Lytechinus pictus: one gene and its partner. The protein of the gene in region 1 interacts with the protein of each later gene in a pairwise test. Links are inferred from orthologs where the notes say so. Each region holds a gene or a part of one and is shown on either strand. Other genes may lie near its edges. The genes, in order: DNA-directed RNA polymerase III subunit RPC3-like and DNA-directed RNA polymerase III subunit RPC7-like.

What was found.
Region 2: the proteins of DNA-directed RNA polymerase III subunit RPC3-like (region 1) and DNA-directed RNA polymerase III subunit RPC7-like interact in binary tests that used the Homo sapiens proteins (3 or more experiments, as listed by UniProt). The link is inferred for Lytechinus pictus from reciprocal best matches to the Homo sapiens genes POLR3C and POLR3GL.

The regions. Positions count from the first base shown.
Region 1 is NC_087249.1:23,388,622-23,396,379, reverse strand, and holds the start of DNA-directed RNA polymerase III subunit RPC3-like, read right to left. Parts: upstream 3,118-7,758; 5' UTR 2,839-3,117; coding exon 2,692-2,838; exon of another isoform or gene 2,632-2,691; intron 1-2,631. Other genes in the region: NAD-capped RNA hydrolase NUDT12-like, read left to right, coding at 3,118-3,326, 5,849-6,522, 7,538-7,699. UniProt on the Homo sapiens protein: DNA-dependent RNA polymerase catalyzes the transcription of DNA into RNA using the four ribonucleoside triphosphates as substrates.
Region 2 is NC_087249.1:25,193,555-25,201,632, forward strand, and holds the start of DNA-directed RNA polymerase III subunit RPC7-like, read right to left. Parts: upstream 3,272-8,078; 5' UTR 3,149-3,271; coding exon 3,023-3,148; intron 1-3,022. UniProt on the Homo sapiens protein: DNA-dependent RNA polymerase catalyzes the transcription of DNA into RNA using the four ribonucleoside triphosphates as substrates. Specific peripheric component of RNA polymerase III which synthesizes small RNAs, such as 5S rRNA and tRNAs.

The DNA of each region.
Region 1 (7,758 bases):
CTGTGGGGACTGATCAACTACGATGTGATTCACGTACTGGTCAGCTGATCGGTCAGGTGATCGGTTGGTTATCTTTTTGTCAGACGTTCATAATTTATATTACAATATATCAATCTTCAGTATCTTGATTTCAAGCATCAGTATTGCAGGGAAAAGTCATTATCGATTGGAATCAATGGCAGATCGGGGGGGGGGGGGGTTGAGCATTTCTGGCCCGTTCCACCTTTTGAGATTCATAGTCAATATTTTGGATGTAAAAAAAAAATGTCGTTCGTACAAAGTTAAGTCCCCCCCCCCCCACCTCCTTATGAGAATCACAGCAATATTTGTAATGGGGATATTTTGTTCATATTCTTTGCTCTTTTTTGTCCTTTTCTTTTTTGCTTCCCAAATTTATTTTACTTTGAACATATGACTTTCTATATTTAATGACAAACTTTTTTAGGGGGGTGGGGGCTTGCCAAATATAACGCGCGACAAGATGACCTTCTTTTTTTAGTGACAACTTTTTTTTTATTTGTCAAATTTTACGAGAGACAAAATGACCTTCGATCATTATTAATTAAACCTTTTTTTTGGAGGGTAGGGGGCTCGCCAAATAGTGACACACTTTTTTTTGTAAAATGTTATGCAAGAAAAAATGATCTTCAATCATTATCAGCTACCTTTCATTTTTTTTAGGGGGGGGGGGCTTGTCAAATTTTACGTGGGACAAATGACCTTCATTTTTTAGTGATTTTTTTTTTTATACTTGACAAATTTTAAGAGGAACAAAATGGCCTTCAATCATTTTTAGTTAAAACCTTTTTTTGGGAGGGGGGCTTGCCAAATATTTCACAAACAAAATGAACTTCAATTTTAGTGACCATCTTTTTATTACTTTTAAAATTTCACGCAGGACAAAATGACCTTCACTTTTTTTTAATGTTATGTTATATCGAGATTTTTTACCTGACTGCTAAAAAAGCACGAATGCCTGTGAGCAAGCAACCAGGGGACCAACGGCTTAAGGTCCTCTCCGAGGGACCTGGTAATGAGGATAAGCCTTCAGGGCACTAGCGCACCACTTGGGAATCGAACCCGGGTCACCGGAATCCGAAACCCCTGCTCTACCGACTGAGCCATCGCGCCTCCGATATGTTAAACTTGGGGGGGGGGAGGCTTGCCAAATATTACACGGACAAAATGAGTCTTTTATTTTTAGTAACCATCTTTTCTTTTTACTTGTCAAATCTTACGCGAGACAAAATGACAATTTTTCTGTGATAACCTTTTTGGGGGGGTTGTCAAATTTTACTTGAGAAATTGCACCCCCCTACTTTGGAAAATCGAAGATTAAGATCATGAGTATAGCCTACATCTCAGAGGCATAAACAGATGGGGGCATGGCTGGCCATCCCCCGAGTGGATTTCACCTGAAAAAAAACCATAGGAGCAACGGAAGGAAGAAAGAAAGAAAAATGAAAGAAAGAACGAAAGGAAATTTAAAAAGGAAAGTAATGTGAGAACAAATAATCCGGGGGGGGGGCTACTCAGATAATAAAAAAATCTGCCATCTGTAATTAAATTGGATTAGTTAATATCCAGAGGTCCCAGGGCTACCAACATACATGTAGCGCGGGCAGTGCATGGCGTACCTAGGATTTTCCACAGGGGGGCAAAATCGGCCGCCAAAAAATTTGACAAGCAAAAAAAAAAGGAAAAAAAGGCTCTTCAATGAAAAAGGTCTTCAATCGTACCAGAAAAAATTTGACAAGCAAAAAAAAAGTCTTCAAGCTCGCCAGGGGGGGGGCAAAATAGGTATTCAAGCTCGTCGGGGGGGGGGGGGCAAAATAGGTTTTCAAGCTCGTCAGGGGGGCCGGGGGGCAGAGATATGTAATTTGCATGGGTTTGTGACTCATCGGGGGGGGGGGGGCAGACTGCCCCCCCCCCTAGGTACGCTAGTGCTCGGGACTTACATTACGTAACTTTTATCTTCCACATGCGACATGTACTATGCCCCCTCTTATATACCCCTGTTATGCCCCTGCACAGACTCGTCTACATTGATTTCGATATTTAAGCGTCATTATAAAATTATAGCAAAAAGAACGCCTTGATTAAAGGCCATTACCCCTAGAGACTCGCGAGCGTCATGTGACAACTCGCCCTGGATTTGCACGTACAGGATCCTATGGCGACAAAATCCATCGCAAGAGTTGGCCAGAAGAGGCGATGAAAACACAAAATTTGGAAAGAAAAGAACCCGTGAGTACCCGTTTTACATTATAATTATGAAATTAGTATATAATTGATAACATAGACCTAAATTTAGGCCGTAATTTTGATTAATTTGCTGGAAATTCAAGGCCAAAACGTACCCGTCTGGCGTCGACTTTTCCAACACGCGTTGGAATAGCGGTGTAGCCCCAGAGTGGTTTCTTTCACCGCGTGGGAAAACCTACGGTGTGTGTAGAGCAATGGTATCCCGACTCAGGCTTCATGGAAAGTAAGCCTACGTATAGTAGATGACTTTTACTCTCCAGAAGCCTCCAGGCTAGGCAAACATGCCCCCCCCCCCCTTCTTCGAGTTCGAGTGCCCCGAGGCCTAGTCCAGAATCCAAATTATTACCAACAAAATTCTTAACACGTGGGACCGAAGTCAAAGAAACCCATCATCATCCATGGCATGACCATGATGTACTACCTCACCTGTTCTGGTTTTTCGTTTGTCGCACAGACTATACTCCGAAAATTATTCGATCCATGTTTCAGAATGTGTGAACAAACTTTCTCTACAGCATCTCCAAAATGGTCCTGAACAAGAAGAGAGACCAACTTTAGTTGCAGAGAAGACATTTCGGGAGTGCACGAATATCGAATGCACGTTGAGAATCAATGGAAACAGATGTTCCGAACAGGCGTTTACCGTCTATTGACTTTTAATCAAGCAAAGACACTCGACTGTTGGCTCGCACACGTACAACACACTGTACAGTAGTCATAGCGCACATTTATAAACGACTGCATGAAAGTCTAACTTTATGGGTCTTTTCATGTGTCAGCTGATTCACGAACCTTGTCCTTGAGATTTGTTTAACAACATCACATTTACTGATTTAGAACAGAGGTACAAGAATGGACTCCATCAGTACAGCCCCTCGGGACCAGCTATTGACAGAACTTCATCGCTGTGCAAGTCTTGGAGAAACGGCCCATGTTTCTCGAATGGTGCAAGGAATGAGGAAACTTGGGCTGGATAGTCGCAATGAACAAGGGTGGACAGCGCTGATGTTGGCCGCCAGGAACGGGCATGTAGATGTCGCCAAGATCCTGTTACAAAATGGGTTAGTATGAAGTAGACAGCTGGCAGCCGTCTGTTTCGAGGAGTTTTTAAACTTTTTTTTTTTTTTTTTTCTCCTCGTACACAGACGGCTCGCTAGCGTGCAGCCACCATTAGGGGACTTGCAATGCAAAATCCCCCCGTCGGGGCTCTTCAATTTTTGTCTTTAATGAATAGAAATTTTGAAAATTAACGCGACCAAAATGCAAATTAATATTCCCTCTTGGCATTAATTGCCAAAAAACGGAGAAAAATCAAGTTAAAAGGAACATAAACAGTGACTTACCTCGGCTGTCGCGCAGCGGCGTAACAGGGGTCGGTGGCCAGGGGGGGCAAGAGCCAAAAATTTCCCGGTCATATCATGGTATGAACAGGTGCAATGGTGTAATGAGGCGACTATTTTGAGAAGGCCAGATATTGCGTATCAGGCAGAATTTATCTTTAAAAAAAAGTTGCGAGTGAGCGAAGCGAGCGAGCAAAAATTTTTGACCTTTTTAATACAAAAATCCAATTTTGTGATAGATTTTGACATGATATCCAGAGAATAATATATTTCACTCTTCTCTCTTTAGATTCCTTTTTTTGTGGTCTGTACGCCACTGTGAACAGGATTCTGTGCGGCAGTAGCGTGAAGAGTAAAAAAAAAAAACGGAAGGGCGCATTATAACACATGTGCTAAAAAGCTGCTTTATATAAGTCCCGAGCGAGCGAAGCGAGCGAGAAAAAATCACCTTTTCCTGAGAATCTAACTTTGAGCTATTTTTTATTCAGTAAATAAAATCATATCTAGGTACACTTTTCCTTTGCTTTTCTTTCCTCCTTTTTTTGTTGTTCTTGTTTGTAGAACTTTTTGAAGCCATGGCCCAACCAAGGAGATATCACAGAGTGATATCTCCTTGGCCCAACCCTTCCATACGCTGTGCTGTGCGGTTGGGGTCCGGGGCGGAGCCCCCGGAACTTCTTGATATCAAAGCCATTTAAACCTCGCAGATTGCCGCTATTTTAATCAAATCGCGGGCATATACAGAATATAGCTTAATTTTACACAACAAATTTTATTCAACCCAGTTGCGTAATGAACCAAATATTTTGAGGGAGCAAAACATTGCAATGTGGGAAAAATTTGTAAAAAGTCGCCAGCGTGCAAAGCGAGCTGGAAAAAATGCCTATTGAAATTAAATTCTAATTATGTGATATATTTTTCCATTATATTCAGCAAATAACACCTTTTATTGTTTCCATTCATTTCATTATACGTTGTCTCATATAATTTATTTTCTTTCCTCTTGGGTGTGGAGCCAAGACCCCCCCCCCCCCGCCTGTCTGCCAGTGATTGAACGGGGGGCGTTATAGAGCCATTTGAAGGTTATAAATGAAGAGCCCCTACTGCGTGGGGTCTGGGGCAAAGCCCCGGTAGCTTATTTGCATAAAATTTAGCCCCGCATTTAGCAAGCTTAAAGCACAATGTTGTATGCAGTCCATTAGCTTTTGACTAATTACATTCTACCTTCGTTTCCCGCAATTGTTTGCCATTTTGTCATCTTTTGATTTATTTCCCACTGTGCTATTGCATTACATAGGCCTATTTTGGAATGATTTGCTCTTTCTCAGATGTTCTTCTTTCGTACATTTTCCCGCTTTCCTTCCTTTTCCATTTAAAAAAAAGTTTTTTCTTCGTTTTCTTTTCCCTTTCCTTTTCCTCCTTTCCTTTTCCCCTTTCCTTCCCCTTTCTTTCTCCCTCTTTTTTTTTCTTTTTCCCGTTTTTCTTTTATTTTCCCGGTGAAATCCGCCAGGGGGGGCAACTTGCCCCCCCGCCTGTTACGCCACTGCTGTCGCGCAAATTCACTTCCCCGTTTTATCCGATCTTAAGTACATAAACATATGGCCATTGAGTCCCCTGTACAGATCGCGCTAGAACTTCGGTCTCTGTATTTGGTGAGTGAAGCCAACGGAGTTCAGCTGAACAACCAACATAACAGAGACCGAAGCTTTTGGTCTAAGTATGAAGATGATCATGAGGAGGAGGATGGTGGTGATGATGATGATGAAAATTGATAAGGATGATGTTGATGATGATGGTGACGATGTTGATGATGATGATGATGATATGCCTTATACTTTTGATGTCAAAGTTTACAATAAATAATGAGCAGACAGCTATAATCAAAATTAAGTTTTAAACAAGGAGATAAGTTTGCATTTAATTTCTTGATGATGATGGTGTTGCAGGTGCATAGTTATACATTAGATTTCATTAAAAATGGTACATCCAAAGTAAAAAAAAAAAGAATGAGAATGATTGTATTTCATAACTTAAAAAAAAAAGCAGTTTAGAAAATTCATTGTACCGGTAATGACAACTAATGATGATGTACAATACCAATAGGAAGATATAGACCTCTAGTTCTTTCTCTTTGATTCTATTCAAAACAATTTTGTCATGCTGATTAGATTTTAGATCTTTGTGATTATTGTAGCTCTTGTGATTCATGTAGGCCTACATTTTTCTGTTCCCTTATTGCACAGGTGTGATCCATTTCTACCCAACAAATCAGGTCAGAACTCTTTGGATATTGCTGAGTTCTGGGACCATACTGAAGTCATCAATCTACTAAGGAGTGATCCTCAGATCAAAGAAGTTGCCAACAAGGACCTGGTCAACTTCTTTGGCCTCAACCCACTTGATCGCCAGAGCCACCAAAGAACCAACAAACAGTGGATAAGGGATGCCATGCAAGCACCCACAACTACCTATATCCTGTACAGATACTTGAATCCATACATCATCCCTTCTGAGGACAGCAATGGAATGTTCCAGTACAATCTTGCTGCATACTCCTATAAGGAAATCTCCTTTGCCTTGAAAGAGGAAGCTTCCATTATATTCCTAGGGGTAGGTCCACTGCACCTTCCAATGAACAAGGATGGAGACATGCAAGAGAAGAGCTCCGAAGGTGCCTGGTTTGCTGTGGATGTTACCGATATTCCTTCAGAAGATCTGCAGAAGATCAAACCTGAAGCAGAGATGTTACCCAAGAGGAATCGCATGGCTTTAATGCTTCTGAGTCCAGCAGATGCTGGTATCATCGGTCAGGGGAGGTCCATGTTGGCATGGCATGACAGATACAAGTTCTGCCCTACCTGTGGTGCATCTACTACCACGGCAGAGGCAGGATATAAACGAGTCTGCACAAAAGAAGGTAACATCCTGCTTTCATGTTGGTTAATATTGATCTTTACATGTTGGCCAATTGGGTTAGATAAATAGGTTGTAAACTTTACCATTTAGTGTACAAGCTTTATGTCAATATCATATTGATGCTTTGTAATTGACTCTAGAGAAGCATTTCCTTTTTAGGATTAGATCACATCATCCCATGGCTTTCTTGTCTCTCTCTCTCTCTTTTTTTTCCATGCGTTAAAGCATAATCATTGGCCAATAATAGGCTGACCCTTGTTTCATGAATATTCATATTCTCAATGTCCAATTCATCTTTATCTGCATATTGCAGGTTATTAAAGGACAAGTCCACCCCAGAAAATGTTGATTTGAATAAATAGAGAAAAATCAAACAAGCATTATGCTGAAAATTTCATCAAAATCGGATGTAAAATAAGAAAGTTATGACATTTTAAAGTTTCGCTTATTTTTCACAAAACAATGATATGCACAATTAAGTGACATGCAAATGAGACAGTCGATGATGTCCCTCACTATTTCTTTTGTTTTTATTGTTTCAATAATACAATATTTCATTTTTTTACATATTTGACAATATGGACCAACTTGATTGAACCATATAGTATTCAACAATTCTTATTCCACATGTTCAGGGAGGAATTAATCATTGTTTCACACAACAACAGAGAAAAAAATTGAATATTTCATATTTTTCATATAATAAAATACAAAAGAAATAGTGAGTGATGTCATCAGTCTCCTCATTTGCATACCACAAGGATGTGAATATCACTATTTTGTGAAATTTATTGAAATTTTAAAATATCGTAACTTTCTTATTTTACATCCCATTTTGATAAAATTTTCAGTATTATGCCTGATGGATTTTTCTCTTTTTATTCAAATCAACTTTTTGTTGGGGTGGACTTGTCCTTTAAATTATTATAGCTCAGTAAAGAAGTCTGTAACACCACTTATCCTACAAGTGTCAAACATGAGAATGAGGTTTTATTTGTTTTGTTTTAATGTTCTAGGTTGTAGAAGTCTTAACGGAGTTCATAACACTTGCTACCCACGCTTAGACCCAGTGGTTATTATGCTTGTAGTTTCTGAGGATGGGAAGAGCATTTTATTAGGAAGGAAGAAGGGCTTCCCAGGAAAGATGTATTCTTGCTTGGCAGGCTTCATGGAACCAGGTAGGTTGGCCCTTTTTGTAAGAGGCAAAATAAAAATCAGACAAGCAAAGAGGTGAAAG
Region 2 (8,078 bases), about 1.8 Mb from region 1:
CGCATTTAAAGGGGTGTTTTTTTTCAGTTTTGGACGCGGTCCGCGCGTGGACTCTTTAAGGGTATCAAAAACACAAATTTTTAAGAAAAAGGTTGGTTTTGAAAGACTGGTCAATGGTCAATTGCGGGGTCAAACGTATTTAGGGTATGTCTTTTTCCCCCAAAGCTTTGTTTTTAAGACTAGCCAAACGTGTTTAGGGTATGTTTTTTTCCCCAAGCTTTTTCCCCCGAGGTCATATTTCAGCGACAACTTGTTTAGGGGCCAAAACGTGTAAATAAACTTGTTTAAAGGGTTATTTTGCACACAGAGAAAAACTCGTTTAGGGGTTGTTTGGAAGTAAAGTTCTTTCGTCTACCACCATGACTACAGCCAACATAAACACTGCAATTGCATGGATGCAGCGGTGGTCATACTTTTGACTGCGATTGTGATGTTTTTGAATAGGCAGTGAATTTGTAGCGTGATTTGGAACTACCCCTAATCGACCATCTAATTTTATAAGAATCGTATCTGCATAAGTATTTATAAGTTTTACCTAGTTTTTGTCTTGCGATGACTGCGTTTCTATGCGCATAAATATCAGCGAACAACAAATACGACAATTTCACATTTGCAACCTTCTTTTGAAACCAACCACCTGCTATACACTGACATTACGGCCGATTCTCATCGCGGTGGCGAAATATTTTAACTCTTCCAAATCAGTTCTATGATGTCACCATGCTAAATGATTGTCTCATTACTTCCACTGCAAGCTCCGGCACATGATTCAACGATTGACGATGGATATTTTCAAATTTTTGAAAATTTCAGTTTTTTTCGTAGAAAACTACATTTCTTTTTGTTTGTTTAAACCTCCTTTGGTATTTGAGCCATGGTTGAAGCTTTTTTATTGTTTAAAGCATTGATTTGCGAAGCTGTGACTTATTGGGAAAAAGTTGCAAGTTTATTTGAATTATTTCTTTTAGTACAAAAATCCTGGAGTTGTACATTGTACAAATTTCAATGGAAGTGATTTAAATCAATGATTAAAAAAAATTAGTGAAAGTGGAGTAGGGGGTAGACAGCTGGCAGCCATCTGTTTCGAGGAGTTTTTTAACATTTATTTATTTTTTTAATTTCTCCTCGTACACAGACGGCTCGCTATCGTGCAGCCACCATTAGGGGACTTACAATGCAAAATCCCCCCGTCGGGGCTCTTCAATTTTTGTCTTTAATGAATCAAACTTTTGAAAATTAACGCGACCGAAATGCAAATTAAAATTCCCTCTTGGCACTAATTGCCAAAAAACGGGGGAAAAATCAAGTTAAAAGGAATGAAAACAGTGATTTACCTCGGCTGTCGCGCAACTGCACTTCCGTTTTATCAAAACTTAATACATAAACATATGGCCATTGAGTCCCCTGTAGAGATCGCGCTAGAACTTCGGTCTCTGTATTTGGTGAGTGAAGCCAACGGAGTTCAGCTGAACAACCAACATAATAGAGAGACCGAAGCTTTTGGTCTAAGACTAAGTAGGGGGCTAAGTGCATGTTAACCGCTTATTGAAGGATTTATTCATGCTTTGATGATATAAAGTTGATAAAATCTTTCTATTTTGAGTAAAAAAACATATAAAAACTGCCGCAAATAAAAATATTGTCAATCATTTGTACATCATATGTTTCAAAGGAAGTGATTTAAATCAATGATTAAAAAAAAAAATCATCTGTGGAGAAGGGCCGTTTTAGGCACCTATGGGTACATTACCGCCGCCGTCCACAGGATAACCACTTGCACGGCACTTGCAATGCCTTTCGGGCTATATATTTTAAATTAGCAATATATATGGATTTAAGATCAGATAAGCTTTGGATATGAAACTTACAAAACGATATGAAGCCAATTTCAATTCCTCTCTGTCTTTCTGGTACTTTATATCGATGATCTTTCTTGATGTCGAAGCAGGCATGGCCCCGATTCGCTGGTTCTCTCTATACGCACAGAGAGCGCGCGCAATATTATTTAATAAACTTGCTTGTTTACGTCGTTTACGTCAGATCAGCTGTACTGCTGGCTGCGTTCTAGGCGCTCCGCATTTTTTTCGCTGTTCAGCGTTATTTTATGATGTAGCACCATCAGCGATTATACGTGACATGCAACCTGTTGATTTTTGGTACAATTTCCTATTATGCGCCGGCGACTTGAATCTAGACTGTTCGATAGGAAAAATTCGCATATCGATCGTTGTTTGCATAATTTCCACCGCAGTATTAAGGATCGGATGGAGTAACTGGCTGAGATTTGGAGGTAAGCGTTTAAAATCCATTTCTATAGATAAGTTCGTGCTGATTTTTAAAATTAGATTACATTATAAATAATATAAGATTAAGATGACTAAATTTAGTAATAGTATATTGTGAAGATTTAGGCGTGTTTCATATTCTCACATTCGTGTGATGAACGAAAACGTCAAAATTCATTATGAAATGACATGCGTTGTGCGAGGTTAGTATACTAACCTCGCATGCTTGTGTGAGTGCGTTTTAGGGGCCTAAGACTAAGAGTAAGACTAAGTCTGAGACATGTTAATTGTTATTGTCATGATTGTTAAACCATAACATAATTTATAGGCTACCTTGCAAGATCAACCTGATTTTACTGACATGATTTCAATTTTTTTAGTAGATATGAAGCATTTATTTATGTTTTGATGATATAGAATTGATAAAATCTTTCTATTTTGAGGAAAAAAATAAAACTACCACAAATAAAAAAATGTCATTGTCAATCATTTGTAATTGTAATTGTAGTGTACCGTAGGCCTACATGTTTCCAGTGGAACTGGAAGTGATTTATATCAATGATTTAGAAAAAATCATAGAGATTAAAATCACGATTTCAATAATGATTTAAATCAACGTGATTTGAATCAGCCCATCCTGATGATGTTGAAATCTTGAGACATATTTTAGTCGGAATCGGAACGGCAACACCGTGCGCATTTTTGACCAACATAATTTGCAATGATGTGGGACTCACAGGAAAAAGCGGTGGCGGCTGAGCAGTGGGAGGTGGCAATGATTCTCCTCCTCTTCCTAATCCAAGGGCATCAGCAGCAAACGACGACCCTCGACCACGCCCGCGACCTCGACCTCTTCCAGCCATAATGAAGTAGCACTGGTTTGTTGTTTTAAAAGGAACTTAAACTTAAAACAATAAATAAGTTCTTCCTCTAACCCACTTGAAAGTATGGTGTCTTTAAAAATAAAATTGGTATTAACTTGAATTGAATTTAAATAAATGTGACTAGAGCTATAAGGGGATGGAAATATATATTTTGGCAATTTTATGAAATAATAAATAAAATCAGAATGATACGTTGAGATATTGCTTAATATTACACGTATGTGTGAAAATGAGCTATATGGACATGTTTGGTATAAATCTAGAACTACTCCCACCCCATCCGTGATCCTGATGATGATGATGATGGTGATGATGATGATGATGATGGCGATGATGACGATGATGATAATAATAATAATGATAATAATTATAATAAATGAATAGATAAATAAATAAAGATGATAACAATTTAATGATGATGAGGATAATAAGCAAACAAACATGTAAATGAATGGAATCGATGAATAGATAAAAATCCAATTGCTATACGTAGAGACAAGCTTAATTTTACTTTTATTTTATAGACAGGTATAATTGCCCCTTATTAATAAAAAAAAATCCCATTGCTATACGTAGACAAGCTTATAATTTGACTTTTATTTTATAGACTAGCTGCCCCGGCCTTTATTCCAAACCAATTAACTCCTTCTGTATATCCTTATAAAATTATTTCGGTACTTTTCTCTGCTGTGTGTATCGATTGTGAGGGTCTGTGAATAGTTCCAGTGTGTATACCGTCAAGCCAGTGGAGTGGCACCCTCCGGGTAAAAAAAAATGGAGCCTATATACACCCTACACCCGACAACACCCTAGCTCTCTTATTTCTCTCGTATACTGGTAACCTATAGCGTTCTGTGTCAGGCTTTTATTATTTCTGTGCTTTTGTTTTGTTTTTACTAGGGTTTTTACCTCCTGCGCTTAGTGTAGTACCTCATCCATACCAGACCCCTCTATATATATACATCATGATCCCGCCCTCTATCCTACTCCCTTCCTTTTTATAATAGCTTTCACCACTTTCACCACCACAAATATATTGCAGTACATGACAAAAAACTTATTTAAGGGAACAATCCCTTCAAACTGTTCATGTGACAACTCACTGTCGGTTGACGCGCAGCAGCTTTTTCAGTAAAAGAGTGATCCAATAATCTTGGAATAGTTTGCCTGCAACACTATGTCCTCCAGTATTAACTCATTTAAACACGGATTAGATTCTTTTTGGTCATGCATTACATTTGAAATTGTCTTACATCCACGCCCGCACTGTACTTAATTGTTAGACTTTTAATTATGCATCAAGCGTTTACGACCGGGAGATCTACAGGGCTATATACCTACCCTCCCGTACAGATGATGATGATGATTAAAGGGGTGTTTTTTAGTTTTGGACGCGGGCCGCGTGTACATGCACTCATTAAAAAAACACCGCGATAAAAAAAAAAAAAAAAAACGGTGGTTTATATGGTCACTGGTCAATCACAGGGTCAAACGTACAGGGTATGTTTTTTTTTATAAACTATATAGCCATACGTGTTTAGGGTACGTATTTTTGCCCCCAAGCTTTTTTGCGACAACAATACATGTATATAGGGGCCAAAATAACTTTGCCCGCGAAAAACTTGTTATGGTGATTATTTGCACACAGAAAAAAACTCATTTAGGAGGTGTTTGGAAATAATTTAGTTACCCATGTGTACAGCAGTACATTTCAGGGGCCGCGGAAAGGTTTTCAAAGTGGGGGGGGGGGGGCTGATGACCATGCAAAAAGTCCCATTATATCGAGGTTTTTTACCTGACTACTAAGAAAGCACGAATGCCTGTGAGCAAGCAACCAGGGGACCGACAGCTTAAGGTCCTCTCCGAGGGACATGGTAATGAGGATAAATTCCTTACCTTCTCAGTTCAAAACAATTTGGATTTGTATCAGGACGATCAACAATGTTACAATTACTCAATGTGTTAAATGATTGGACGAATATGTTGGAGGTTGGTGGTGCAGTTGATGTCATCTACCTAGATTTCATGAAAGCCTTTGATAAGGTCCCACGTACACCAGAGACTTTTAGCCAAAATTGAGGGATTTGGCATATCTATAGCTCATATGTAAGTGGGTCAGAGGTCTTTTCTTGTTGGTCGACAGCACCGAGTTTGTGTGAATGGTGTGTTCTCTGACTGGGCTGATGTAACCAGCGGAATACAGCAAGGGAGTGTCCTCGGACCCCTGCTTTTTGTAATGTACATTAATGATTTACCGGATCAGATTTCGTCAAGTACTGTTAGTTTATTTGCAGATGACACCAAGTTATACAAGCATGCATGTTAATAATGACAGAGATGCTGAGTTATTACAAGCGGACTTAGATCGTCTTGTGTCATGGTCAGACAAGTGGCTATTAAAGTTCCACCCGGATAAATGTTGTGTACTTACTATTGGTACAAAGAATGATGAATTCAATGAATATACTATGACACATGATAATGCTTCACATAATCTATCACAAGTTGAAACTAGTAAAGATTTAGGAGTGATTGTCGACACAAAGCTTAGTTTTGACCAGCACTTTCAGTCAAAGATAAATAAAGCCAATAGGCTTATGAATCTAATTAGGAGAACATTTGTTTATTATCTTCACAAGGAGAACCTCCTACTCCTATACAAAGCATTGATTAGACCTCACTTGGAGTATGCTCATGCAGTATGGAGTCCATACTTAAAGAAACATATTCAAGCAATAGAAAATGTACAAAGAAGGGCCACTAAGTTGGTACCTGAAGTAAAGAACCTTCCATATGAACAAAGATTGATTCAACTAAAACTTCCTACATTAGCATATCGCCGTGCGCGAGGAGATATGATCGAAACATACAAGTTATTTCACAGGTATGACCAAGAGGTAGTGCCAGATTTGGGCCAGGTGCATGGGCCTACCAGAGGTCATGATAAGAAATTGTACATTCCGAGGTCAGTAACTGAGAAACGTAAGAATTCTTTTTACATAAGAATGAGGAAACCTTGGAATAGCCTAAGTAATGAATTACTAATGCACCCAGTGTCCACAGCTTCGAGAATGGACTGGATAAGTATTGGAAATGTGAACCTGTGAAGTACAAGTTTGACGCTGACCCACCAGGACATGCCGGCCAACCTAAAGAGGAGACAGAATTTGGAACTGAATATAGAGTCTTAGACTGCGTTCAGAAGCATCCATAAGTATCCATATAAGTAAGTAAGTAAGTAAAGCCAAGGGCACTAGCACAATCATATGGTCGTCATTTTTACGTTTTTGTACACGGTTTTTGAAAAAAGAGGGGGGGGGGGGGCTGAAGCCCCCCAGCCCCCCGCTTCCGCGGCCCCTGTATTTTGACTGCCCCCGGGAGTTTTGCCAATGATTTACCGTATTCGGCGTTGGTAATCGACTATGAGATTTAAAAAAAAGATTTAAAAAATCATGTGATAGCAAAGACACCATACCCAGTGGCATTGCGTGAAGACTGAAGCTCTGTAAAATTTACTTTTTGCGTGAGTTATTGACGAGTCCTGATCACTGTACATCTATTTTTGTGTGGTAAGATAGCCGGATATGAACTAATTTGAGTAGTTCTTTTTAAATAATAAACCATATGGGAGTTTACTATAGGAAATTATTCACTCTTTCCATTCTATCCAGTTACTGCGAAGTTAACATCGCATCCCTCAAACAGCCGGTGATTTCGATCGTGTGCTATCCGAACACATGTATCAAGGAATCGTGATATCATCCATTTCTTTGTGTGCGTAATATATTGCACGTGTTGCCGATAGTTGTGGTGTCCCCTGTGCACTCATTCGAATGAGGTCTCGTGTTTTGAAGGATGTCGCCTGCGCCTGTTTGACATCTAATGTTAGACAGACTAGTAGTGTTGTAACCCGCACCCGTTGCGGTACGGGTTAACCTGCCGGTATGCACCCCATCGCGGATTGCGGGCCGGGCCGAGTTCATTCTCAAACCCGCAGACCGTCATACGAAAAAAAGGGAGAAGTAACGACGCATAATAAAAACATTAACAATGAAAATTGAATTAGGATCATGTGCTTCTTACGTAGCGGATTCTTTTAGAGACGTAGATATTTCCTTTTTTAAAAATGCCGGCGTATTTTTGTCCTGTGAACAGTGAACAGGACTGAGACAGTTCGACATAATATTAATAAAATACATCGAGTTGCTCTTTCAAAGGAGCGCCAGTGCAGTGCAGCGCAGTCAGAGAAAGGAATGTTTTACGACTGGCAGAGGGGGAGAGAGATAGAGAGAGAGGGGAGGGGATGTGTTCGGAGAATGTGAACAGAAGCCAGAATACATTGCGTAATCATGTCTGGCAAGGAGCGAGTGATAGGCCACGTGGCAGAGAAAGAAATGCTTTATGACTTGGAGTGGGGCGAGTCGAGCCTGTTTCCACGGCAACGCTCGCTGTTTGAGCTCGAGGGATTTGCGGTGCACGGCAGTGAGACAGTTGTTTGCTTATTGGATTACCAAATTAGGTCATGACCTGATAGAGCGTGCCGTCAGGTCAGAGTGTTAGCTGCCCTTTTTTGAAGACACGCTAAGCTGGTCTAGTCTAACCCTCCTTTTCGTTATTTCATACATTTTCTGATGAAAACTGAAGCCCCCGCACTCTTAATTTTTCCGATGTACAATTGATTGAAAGTCTTTAAGATTTCTGAAGATGTAAAATGGGATTGCAATGGATTGCAAGTTTCTTGCAAATACCTCTCTCTTGACCGATCGATCGAGAGAGATAAAAAATAAAAAATAAATAAAAGCCTAGCTAAGCTAGCTAAGCACTAGTAACACGAGCTGTTTACGTAAGTTCATGGGCGCCCTCGTGCACGTTTGTATTTAGTACAAAGAATTGGAAGAAATACAAAAAC